3 linked regions of the Zea mays genome follow. The protein of the gene in region 2 binds, or shares a complex with, the protein of the main gene of each other region. Links are inferred from orthologs where the notes say so. Each region holds a gene or a part of one and is shown on either strand. Other genes may lie near its edges. The genes, in order: condensin complex subunit 2, uncharacterized protein LOC100216627 and structural maintenance of chromosomes protein 4.

The links.
Region 1: uncharacterized protein LOC100216627 (region 2) and condensin complex subunit 2 share a complex: the UniProt entries of both Arabidopsis thaliana proteins name them as parts of the condensin complex. The link is inferred for Zea mays from reciprocal best matches to the Arabidopsis thaliana genes AT3G57060 and EMB2795.
Region 3: uncharacterized protein LOC100216627 (region 2) and structural maintenance of chromosomes protein 4 share a complex: the UniProt entries of both Arabidopsis thaliana proteins name them as parts of the condensin complex. The link is inferred for Zea mays from reciprocal best matches to the Arabidopsis thaliana genes AT3G57060 and SMC3.

The regions. Positions count from the first base shown.
Region 1 is NC_050098.1:234,339,355-234,343,105, reverse strand, and holds the start of condensin complex subunit 2, read right to left. Parts: upstream 2,647-3,751; 5' UTR 2,562-2,646; coding exon 2,277-2,561; intron 2,187-2,276; coding exon 2,085-2,186; intron 1,957-2,084; coding exon 1,839-1,956; intron 239-1,838; coding exon 168-238; intron 90-167; coding exon 29-89; intron 1-28. UniProt on the Arabidopsis thaliana protein: Regulatory subunit of the condensin complex, a complex required for conversion of interphase chromatin into mitotic-like condense chromosomes.
Region 2 is NC_050102.1:180,182,906-180,186,656, forward strand, and holds the start of uncharacterized protein LOC100216627, read right to left. Parts: upstream 2,771-3,751; 5' UTR 2,731-2,770; coding exon 2,583-2,730; intron 1,922-2,582; coding exon 1,596-1,921; intron 1,511-1,595; coding exon 1,350-1,510; intron 1,270-1,349; coding exon 138-1,269; intron 58-137; coding exon 1-57. UniProt on the Arabidopsis thaliana protein: Essential protein. Regulatory subunit of the condensin complex, a complex required for conversion of interphase chromatin into mitotic-like condense chromosomes.
Region 3 is NC_050101.1:167,824,695-167,828,445, forward strand, and holds the start of structural maintenance of chromosomes protein 4, read left to right. Parts: upstream 1-1,009; 5' UTR 1,010-1,280; coding exon 1,281-1,421; intron 1,422-2,772; coding exon 2,773-2,862; intron 2,863-3,527; coding exon 3,528-3,629; intron 3,630-3,716; coding exon 3,717-3,751. Other genes in the region: uncharacterized protein LOC101027244 precursor, read right to left, coding at 22-237, 319-522. UniProt on the Arabidopsis thaliana protein: Central component of the condensin complex, a complex required for conversion of interphase chromatin into mitotic-like condense chromosomes.

The sequences.
Region 1 (3,751 bases), on a different chromosome or scaffold from region 2:
AGATAGTGAGAATAAACTTGAAACTTACCATCAAATTTCTTTACATTGAGAGCCTCAAATGACGACTCCAACGTTGAAGCAGGTGAAATCTGCACAAATGGAAAGGCATTAACATAATGAAGCAGAATTGAAGTGAAGAACTAAGTACTCCATTCAAAATGTTGTACCCTCCTATCAGCATCCTTTTTATTGATTGCTTCATCCTGTGCAGGTTCAACATTGCTGCCTTCCTCCAAATCTTTAATGGCAACAACCAACTCAGAGCATCATCATGAAACAGCATTACATTATCTAAGGATAATACTGTAAAACAGGAGTGCAAATAGGGATGGCAAGGTGGATTTGGATCAGGTGGAGACTGTGGACTTGAACCCAGAACCCAAAACCACCCCAAACACCGTTTCAGGTGATAATCCAAACCCAAAACCAAACCCAGTGGATCCAAAAAAACCAAAAACCACCACTATATAGCAATATACAAAAGACATTAAGGAATTTCTAGTAACTCATGCATGATACATATTACATATTCACATATATAAGCAAAAGGCAATAAAGAACAAATAATTTCATGACTCAACTTAGAATAAACTTAATAGCTTACATAAACAAATTATTAACAAAACAAATGAGTTTTTACTTAAAATGTACTATTTTGGACCTCCATTATACATCCGCGGGTGGAAACCAAACCCAATAAAATTTGGGTCCCTAAACCCGAATCCACTGGACCCAAAATCATGCAGAGCACTGACCCAAAACTGCCACAGTGCCATCCCAAAGTGCAAAACAGTGCTTCTCAAATTTTAAGCACAAAAACAGTAAGAAAACAGCAAATGTTCCCAATTTCATAAACAGTGTTTTGCAGAAGGTTCATAATCTGTGAGTGCACAGGTTGTGTAAAGCTGTGTAACATATCAATGTAAGTTGATCAATTTCACCCAAGGAATACCAAAAAACAGGACAGTTCTAACATGGGTAACAATGAAAAGGTTTTAAAACATATTTAATCTTCCAATCAAGTTAGTGCCTGTTTGGAAGCATGTCGGTTTTTAAGAAACCATTTGCTATAAACTCGTTTTTAAATAAAAATTGGGTGAGGGTGTTTGGAACCCGGTTTCTAAGAAACCAGTTTCTAGTTTTTTGCATATGCATTGACTAGCCTAACCTTCCTCTATTTTAAAAAGTGGTGGCAATAGATGTAAATTCCATGAAATAAACAAGGGAATAATGTTATTAAACAGACAAAATTTGGTTTTAGCTAGGGGATGCAGGCTTCTTGGTTTTTAAGAAACTAGGAATCCAGTTTCTATAAACTAGAAACTAGGACATGAACTAGTATTGTTTGGAAGTACTCCGGTTTCATAAACCAGTTTCTAAAAACTGGGTGCTTCCAAACAGGCCCTTAGAACAGTGACCTTTCCATTAACTCATAAAACCACACTGCATGCCAACTTAGGGGTGTTTGAGATTATAATCCCAAACAAACACCCCCTTACTTTAGAGTTTTTAACTCAAGTTTAGTGATACCCAGCATAGACCAATTTGCACTGGATGAAGACAAAAAGCAAAAAAAAAAGTGCAGTTTTTTTCCTTTCTCCAAATCTTTTTCGTCAAGCACCAAACCAGAAGACCATAATGAAGCAGCATAGATTTCCAGCAAAATCATGAACCTATCATGTATAGGTCATTCTTTTTGAATTTGTAACTCGAGCAATTCAGCCATACTCGGCATAAGAGCATGTAATTTGCACTGGATACAGCTCCCTAATAAAGAAGTAAAACTGCAATCAAAGTGGTACACATCAGAATCCATTAAAATTCCAGTGCACCCTCACCAGCCTCTTCACCCCTTCCGGCACGGTTTATCCCACCAAGCACCTTGTAAGCCTCGGAGTGCACTGAATCCACACGAAGTGAATATATCTTGACCCCCGCCTCCAGTGTGCAGCTTGCCTGTTCCATAAAAGTACCACATTATTGCCAACAAATTCAAATACAGTAGACGAATCTCCCTCTAGACAAATTTGTACTAAGAAGGCTACAAAGAGAGGAGGAAATGGGAGATCTTTGCAGGTCGGTACCTTCTGAAAGTTGGTCTCCTCGTCCTCGTCCACCCCCGCTTGGATGATCTCGCTGAGATGATCGATTAGGCCTAGCTCCCACGTGTTCTTCTGGTTAATTTTCTGCCGAAATTTCCCCAGAAAGAACGCAACGAAGAAGCTTAGCGAGAGGAATGGAGCGGGCTAGGTTTAGGAGGCGGGCTAGGCACCTACGTTCTCCGATGCGAGCTTGATACAGTTATGGAAGAGGTCCATGACCTGCTCGCGGTTGAGGAGGTCGTGGCGCGGGTCCTTGGAGGGCGCAATGGAGGCGGCGAGGGATCGGCGGCGGACGGAGGCGGCACGCGCCGCCGCGCGGGCGCGGGCGCGTTCTTGCTGGTCGTCATTGGATCCGAGCGGGAACGCTGGAGGCGGAGACTGCAGCAGCACCCGCGACCCGGCCGCCGTCCAGCGCGCGGGAGGGGGGGTCTGCGGTGGGGCGTCCTCGGCCGGCGGCATCTCGTGCGGTCGACGGCGGCGGCGGAGCGGAACGGGACAGGATGGATAGAGGGGGTTGGGTAGGGAAAATTTTGGACCGTCGTTCGGGATCCCTCCCAGTCGTGATTTCAAATTTTGGGGGCGGATGCGCTGCGGTGCGGGAGCGGGGCCAGGGATGGGGTGGGTACTGTTGCTTTGGTTGAAAAGCAAGTAGAACGGAACGGTTATGTTCTAGTTTTGTTGTTATTTGATTACAAAGTAACTAGAACGGAGTAGCTCCAATTAAAGAATATTCTCCTTAGATTCAGAACCATCCTACTCCAAAAAATCAATGGGACGGAGCTGCTCCGTTTCCAGCTCGCTCACACAGCTCGCCCTCCCATCCGTGCGCAGCAGCTCACGCGCCTCCCTCTGCAACCAAACAAAAAATAGAGCCGCTCTGTTCCAGTTCACTCTACAACCAAACAAAAAATAGAGTCGTTCCTTTCCAGCTTACCAAACATAGAACAGAGCGCCTCCGTTCTAGAATCAGGGATCGAACAGCTCTGTTCTACTTGTCTCCTCAACCAAACACTACCTTTGTACTCCTTTTGTGAATTTCTTTGTGCGTCAAACGTCCCTCCAACTCAATTGTGCACAGCTTTCGTCAACTGCTCCTTCCACTCGCGCTGACGCCTACGTGTAACCGTGGCTCCTCTTCCTTGAGACCCTGCCCATTTCAAACTCACCCTTCCCCTCGCCCCCGGCCCCCACTATCTAGATATAGCCAAACGGTTAGAAAACCGGGCCAAAACATCCAAACATGTTGGCTCGTTTTCTTATCCGAGTCTGGCCCACTGCGGGCCTAAACGGATCGGACCGAGTCGGTAAGCACGAAAAAAGCGGGCTGAAAACAAGCTAAGTGGGCTGCTAAGCACGGTTTAGTGCAAAAAAAGGGCTTGACGGACTTAGAGGTAAACGAGTCGTGTCGGGCTAGCCCGTGGGGCTTAGTTTCCTGTCTGGGCCCGGCCCGCTTATTCATGTCGGGCTGGCCCAGGCCCGTATAAAAGTAGGCCAAACCGGGCTCGCATCGGGCCAAAAAACATGCTTCGGGTCGAGCTTTCATGCTAAAGGCTTTCTGTACATCTATACCGCTATCGGGTGCACCCTCCCCCTTGCTCATTCGATCATGCGCGAGCGTTGTCCTGCGTCGTGTCCCTTTACTCCTCATC
Region 2 (3,751 bases):
TAAAGTAATGAATGCACTCTCCACTGCCTCATATATTGACTTATCCTGAGAAAACACCTGAAAAATCCAAAGGGCCAAGGAACAATTAACAAATACAAAACAAGCACAAATACCAGACAGAGTTTTTGGGATATTACCAGAGGTAACATTTTCCTGAGTGCTGCTTCTGATCCTTCGATCTGAAACTGTCTGCATCTCATCAGTAAAAGGATGGTGTTCTCAACATCAGTAGCTGAGGATGACGCCAACAACTGAACAAGAATTGGCATTAACGAAGTTATACACTTTGAAAACCGCAGACCAGCTTCAAGTGAAGCAACTAAAGCTCTTATTTGTTCCAAGTTTGTTATATCCACAATCGTAGCATCACGGTCATTTTGATCCTGACTTGATGCTAAACAGCTATCACTGACACTTTCATCTTGCCCCATGATCACTTCACCAGGCGAACTATCATTTGCGGCCTCATCTTTGTCTGAATTTGAAGGCTCCATTCCTTGTAATTTTTCCTTGTACTTTTCTAGAGTTGCCTCAAAGGTTGCAGTCCTTAACTGAGGCCCAAAAGGGTTGTGTTGCAGCATTGTTATAAGAAGCTGTAATGCTGATTTTCTCACAATAGCACTTTTGTCCTCCAGTCGCCCTGAAGCAACGGAAGCCACTTCATTCCACAGGCCAATTGAAATAGAATTTTCTTCACAAAGCTCAGACCACACCTGAAGCACACGACTCCTTGTGTATGCTGACACATCCCTACAGCGCTCAATCAAAATCTCCAGCATAGCCTGCTTACTTCGAAGCCGAGCATTGCTATCACCCTCAACATCCTTGAAAGCCTTTGCAGCCAGCTTTCCCAAAACTCCAACAAGAGCATTTCTGATCTTATATGACTCACCACCAAAGTGAGGTATCAGAACACCAATGTTGGTTGACATAAGTTTTGGCAAGCGGTCTGCAAGTTCTACAAGGAATCTCCCAACATTATCCGCACCAACACTATCTCTCGTGTATTCTTTTGGATCAGCCCGACCTATTTCCCTAATCAGGGAAATTGCAAGGCTTCCATCACCAAACTTTTTCTCCGCAGAAGCAACTGCTTCCGCAAGATGAGGAACAGTGAAATCAAATTTGTGTATTAGATGTGAAACAGATGCACTGATTTGAGAAATCCTCTGATGCTTCGTGGCAATTGCTCCAATTATCCGGCACAGGCCATTTCTTGTATCCTCATCTTTTAACACATTTTGATTTTCACAGAGAACAAAAGTACACCTACATGTTATGAAAGTGATGTCATTGCAAAAGATGACTTACTGGAATACTGTAGTCAGTTTCCACTTTCTAAAACTTACTTCGAAACAAAAGAGAGATATCGTTCATCGGTTCCTCCAGGACCAAAAAGTAGCGAAAGGTTAGCTTCAAGAGAATTAGCGACTAGACTCATGATCCTGCCTCTTTGTGCTTCCCAGTTCCAAGAATATATATGGTTCTTCTTTCGACCATGTGCTGTTGCCTAATTGTCATGAAAAAAATAAAGTCAACTAAAAGAACAAGAGCATAAACAATCTGAATAATTGTATCTTCTGCACAAAAATCACCTTAGCCGCTGTGCAGCTTTCAGCGCCAGCTTCCGCGGTGAGAACAATGGAAATGAGAAAGAAGGAGTAGATCTTGAGGGCATTGCGGTGTGAGGCAATGCGGTCAGTGATTTCGGTAGCATCAGAAGGGGATGACATGGATGCCCGGGAAAGTGAGTCTATGCTGGGTAGAAGGACACTGAGGTTGGAGCGCAAGGTCTCAACAATGTTAAACTTAAGGGCTGGGGGTAGGCAATTGAAATCACGCACGATAGAGTAGATGGCATCAAACACCTCCTGTTCCTCAATGCAGAAGAGCTCCTTATCAGAAAGATCAAATGATGCACCTTCAGTTTGAATAAGAATTAAAGAAATAGTGAGTTCACTTAATAAGATTCTTTCATTTAAGAAAAAAAATCTAATTGTACGTTGCCACAAGTTAGAACAGCCAGAATTGTCAAAAGTAAGGCAGAAATTAAGGGGAAAGGTGTATTCCCATCAAACAACAGCTAATATTACAGAGACGGCGATGAAGAACAAAGATTCATGAATAAATAATATAGCAACGTTACGTAGGGCCATCGAGGCAGAGCTTATAATAGCTTTTGCTAGCTGCCCGCACCCACCTTTTCTGATATCAGATCAAGTTTGTTAACACAGCCGCGGAGATACAAGAAGGTTTTAAGATTGGTGGCAAGCAAGTTGAAAAAGGCTTATGTGGAAGTGACAGCGAGCATTTCTCTGCAAACTCGATTATTTACGCTATGCACCGATTTGCTAGAGAAAAAAAGAAGATAGGGTTAGCAGGTTGCCAGCTACATCGAAATCCGAAGCTCCGACTAGTATTACTGACCAGCAAAACCCTATTCCGGTGCAATTTAAAGCCACTAGTTCGTGTTACCATCAAAAATACGAATCCAAACTAGTAATTCTTGGGTACCGGTACAACCCCGACCAAACAACAAACCGCGCGGAAGCTGGGGGATCTGGGGCAGAAGTGGCACGTACCCTTGACGAACTCCTCGAGGTCGGCAGCGCGGAGCGTGGCGACGGCGACGGGGTTCTGCGGCCGGAGCGAGGGCTCCTCGTCTCTGTCTCCGTCGGTGTCCAGCTCCAGATCCCGCAGGGTCGAGGGGAACACGAACGGCGGGGACATCTCGCCCGGCGAGCGGCGGAGGGGGAGGCGCAGGGCTTCGGGTCTGGGCTGGGGAACGGGAGGCGAAGAGTGGCGAGTGTTTCGAAATCGAGAGCGGGAGACGGTGAGTTTTCGTGAGGGAGTCTCTCTGTATGGCGAGAAGGGCCCACGCCTCATGTGGGGAGGTGGGCACCAGCCTTTGAATCGAACCATTTCGGGCATACACCTTTTTCTAAAGAAAATTTTCTAAAAATCAAGAATTGTATATAATCTATTTTCACGTATCGCGGTGTGTAGAGGATCAAAGGATCTACATAATTTAGGGTTTAGAAAGCGGTCAGTTCTTCCCATCACGGTGACTCATCGGTTTTTTGCTTTACATGGATTTATGCGATTTTTACATAAATGGTTTTCATAAAAGTCGGCTAAAAAGCAACATGTTTGACTTTTAGAACCCGTCTCTATCGCTCTGAATCCAATCAGAAGTTGAAACAAACATGACCTTCAATAGGTGCTACAGCGGCTAGCTCGTATTGAGAGGTGATCGTTGATTAGACAAATTGTTACGTGGACTAAAGTTCAGTTTATATCGTGTCAGATATTTGAATGATTATTACGAGTATTAAATATAGTTTAATTATAAAAGTAATCATACAGCTGAAGACTAAACGATTAGATAAATTTACAAAGTGTAATTAATCTATAGTTAACAAACGTTTATTGTAACATCATATGAGTGGACCATAAACAAATTAGGTTTAGTAGATTCGTCTTATCGTTTATGTGTTGTTTGGTTTCTAAGTATTGATTTTTAATCTCTCCATTTTATTTTATTTTAGTGTAAATAAAATAAACGAGGGGCAAGAAAATTAAAATTAATATGGTTGAGTCTCTTTTAGGACACGTTTGGTTCCTTTAGTTAAAGGACTAGGGACTAAAAGTTAGTTAGGTGACTAAAGTTTAGTCCCTTTTAGAGTCATCTCCTCATTGTCAAGTTTTGAGACGTCGATTGGGAGCCTACTTGGTGTAGACTCGTCTTTGT
Region 3 (3,751 bases), on a different chromosome or scaffold from region 2:
TCTGGCTCCCACCTGTCCCCGTCAATCCGCAGTCAAGTCGGCAATCCCAGTCCATGCAAACACCGCTTCTTTCTCCTGCATGCGCGGTCTGCGGTGTGGCTGGCTAGTGGCTGCGGCTTCCATCCGTCGTCTCCGTCCATCCGTCCCTGGCCGACTGCCTGCCTGCTGGCTAGGGCCAATGCCACAGGGAGCAGGATCACCAGCGGCAGCCGACAGCGAGACGAGGCGAGTGCTATGCTGTCACAGCGATTAAAAGCAAAAACGTAAAGCGGCAGCAGGATGAGGAAAGCAGGGGAGAACCTGGAGACCGAGCGGTACCGCCCACTCCCAATCGCGCGGGGCCGTTTCCTCCCAGACCGCTGCGGCGTCGAAGCCGCAGCAGCAGCCTCCTCCTCCTCGGCCTCCGCGGCAGCCACCGTCGCCTCCATCTCGGTCGCGTGCTCGACCGCCTTCACCTGGAGAAACACAAGTTACACATATCAGCAGCACAAATACAGGAAGACGATGGAACAACGACTCCATGGGGGACCGCAATCAGCGGCGAGACGCGAGCGTGGCGGCGAGGTCGTGAGGAAAAGGCAGGGCACGATGGGAGGGAGGAAGCGAGGTCGAGAGGATGAGAGGGAAGTGGACAACAGGCAAGAGAGGAGACGCTCAGAGCTTGATTGAAGAAAAAATCGGGTCCGGCCTACGTGCCACACGCGGACAGGTGTTCGAGCAAGGGCCACGAGCTAAATCGCGAAAAGACAGAGGGCCTTTATGCAAAAACGCGACCACGAAACGCGGGGAGCGCTTCAAACAGCTTCAGGCTTTAATAACTCTGATTTTTTTTTGTCCGCAACAGTTTGCGTACGGGCCTGAAACCAGAGCATACCTAGAAACAGCCCAACATTTGGTGCGCATGCATGGGCTAACGCAAGACCGTACCCTATCAGCCAAAGTTAGCGAAAAAGCCCAGTCCAACTAAATGATACTCCATTTCATATTTTTCTGGCCTGAAACACCTTCAAATTCCGCAGCGCGAGGACGAAACCCTCGCACCGTTTCAGTTTTCCCTCCCAAACTTGCCCCAAATATCTAAATCCATCCTCCTTCGCAGGCGCTCCAACTTTCCCCTTCCCGGCAACCACCCTGTGCCTTCCTCGCTGCCTCGATTCCGCTTCTGTGCTCGGCTAGGGAGAGCGGCAGAGTATCAGGCGGGTGACCTCTATCTCGCCGGGGCGGGGCGGGGCGGTGACGCTCGCAATCCCTCGCTTGCTGCTGCATTTTCGAATACTGAGATGGCCATGGAGATGTCCCCGCGGCAGTCGCCTCCGCGGACGCCGCGTAGGGCGGCGAAGCCGCGACTGTTCATCAAGGAGATGGTCCTCCGCAACTTCAAGTCCTACGCAGGGGAGCAGCGCATCGGTCCTTTCCACAAGGTCTCCCCCCCCTCTCACTCACTCACTCACTCACTCACACACGCCCACTCGTGGGTGCTAACAATTTGTTTAGATTTAGAAATCCTACGAACGAAGTTCGCATTATTGTAATTCATTTACATCAGCATGTGCCTATCGAAACTTAATCTACTTGTGCACTATGTCATAGCTTCAATTTTGCTATTCTGCCCCACTCTCAATTTATGTCATTGTTCCCGATAAAGAAACGGCAAGATGGATGTTTATTTGTGGTTGCTAGTGGCGGTCAAGACTTGATCCGAGAAATCGCAGTGGAATTTCTGTAGCTATTATTGGGGCTTACATGTGAGTGTAGGTGTGGCTTTAATTCCAAACCCTAGGGTACAGTTCACACTGTAGAGTTGTCATTCTAACAACTTTGTTTTACTGGTACAATAGTTAACAGATATCACTTTCGACTGTGATACATAAACATACAACACAAATAGAATTTGTACTTGCAGAAGAGAGGTCTTCCATTCAGTTCTATATATTTTGTTATGATTATGCTTGCATATCTAAGGAAGTATCGATGTTACGGCCAAACTCATGGTTTAGCTTTCACTTGAGCAACTTCACCACATTTAGGAAAACAATCCCCTCTCCATAAAAGCTGTCATATAGGGGAATGATGTGAAAAAAATGCTCCAGAAGATCCCCTTTCTCAACCCCCCTTCCCTATGTTTTTTCTCAATCCCTCAAATAGAGGGGAGCAAGCAGCTTTTTTCCTCAACCCCCTTTCCTTCTTCAAATCTGGTGTGGAGTTGCTCTCCCATTTTATTAAAGCTATGCTCCTGCCTCCTAGAGTAACTGATCCTTCATCTCTGCAGAAAGTATTACAATTTATATAATAAAAGTATAACTGGATCTAAGCATAGATTGGAGCATGTTTGGGAGAGCTTCTTAGGGCTTTGGCTCCTTGCTATAGTATCTAAAAGAGCCAGAGCCAGAGTTGGTGAAGACTTTTTTCTGGCTTCACTGACTTCTAGTTCATTTTGTAAAGAGAGAGAAAATGGCCCCCTGATACAGTGCACATTTTCCCTAGTAGCCGGAGACATTTCGTGAGAAGCCCTCCTAAACGAGTCATTAGAAAAACATACCAGGATTTCTGAGGACACACTCTTCTCAATCTAATTTGAGAAAAACATAGTTATAATCAAACACAAACAAATAATAGTCCTTCAGGATACAGATATTACACACTAAGGTCGTGTAATAGTGCTCATGTTTAACAGATGGAAATAATTCCATTTTACCCCAAATGTATTATGTACCGATTGAACAACGATTAAAGACAAAACAATAGAAACATAATTTGTTATCTTGACTGCAGAGCTTCTCGGCTGTTGTTGGTCCAAATGGCAGTGGAAAGAGTAATGTCATTGACGCAATGCTTTTTGTGTTTGGGAAGCGTGCAAAGCAGGTTGGTATTGTTGCTTAATGTTGATTTTTTAGTGATTATCACTATATTCATTTAGTTCATTTCACCGGGAGATTTTATGTTATTTGTTCTATGTCAACAAATCATTCGATTTGTTTATAGCCTATCCAATGGTAGATTCTAGCATGTCACTCTAAGTTCCACAATAATTTAAAAGCCTGAGAGTAATATCCTGCCATTTAAGTTTGTAAACATATAAATTATCATCCTAAGTATTATGTGAAAGGATTATTCTAGAACCTAGCACATTGATGCTTCAATTGTATTAATCCTCTTGGTTTAGATAATAATCGTATTAATCCTATGGTTGCCAAGTAGTCTGTGTTTTGAAGTTGATACTTTAGAGTTCCTGTCTGCTAAATGTACTGTGCATACTAGTTTCTCGTTACTGTTACCTGTTTTCCCTTTGAACTTTACATGGACAATGCAATTTTCACAAATTCATTCGTACAAGTGATCAGATTCATTTTTTCCTTACCAATATCTCTGCTTTTAAAGAAAGTAAAAATAACGTTTGAGATACAAACCCCACTGGATTACCATTTCACAAGGAACATATACGGAAATAAAATTGATCCAATACATTGTTAGTCGCTATCATTACTTAGGATAATTTTGTATTTCTCTTGTTCTTCCATCAACTGCAGATGCGCCTAAACAAGGTCTCCGAGCTCATACACAATTCTTCCAATCATCAGAACCTAGACAGTGCTGGTGTTTCTGTTCATTTTCAAGAAATTATTGACATGGTATTGTTTGAAGCTTGGGTTGAGTTTTCGACATTTCTTATTTGTACTGCCAATAATCATTTTACTTTTTTCTGTGCCTGTAAGCAGGATGATGGGAACTACAGTGCTGTTGAGGGTAGTGA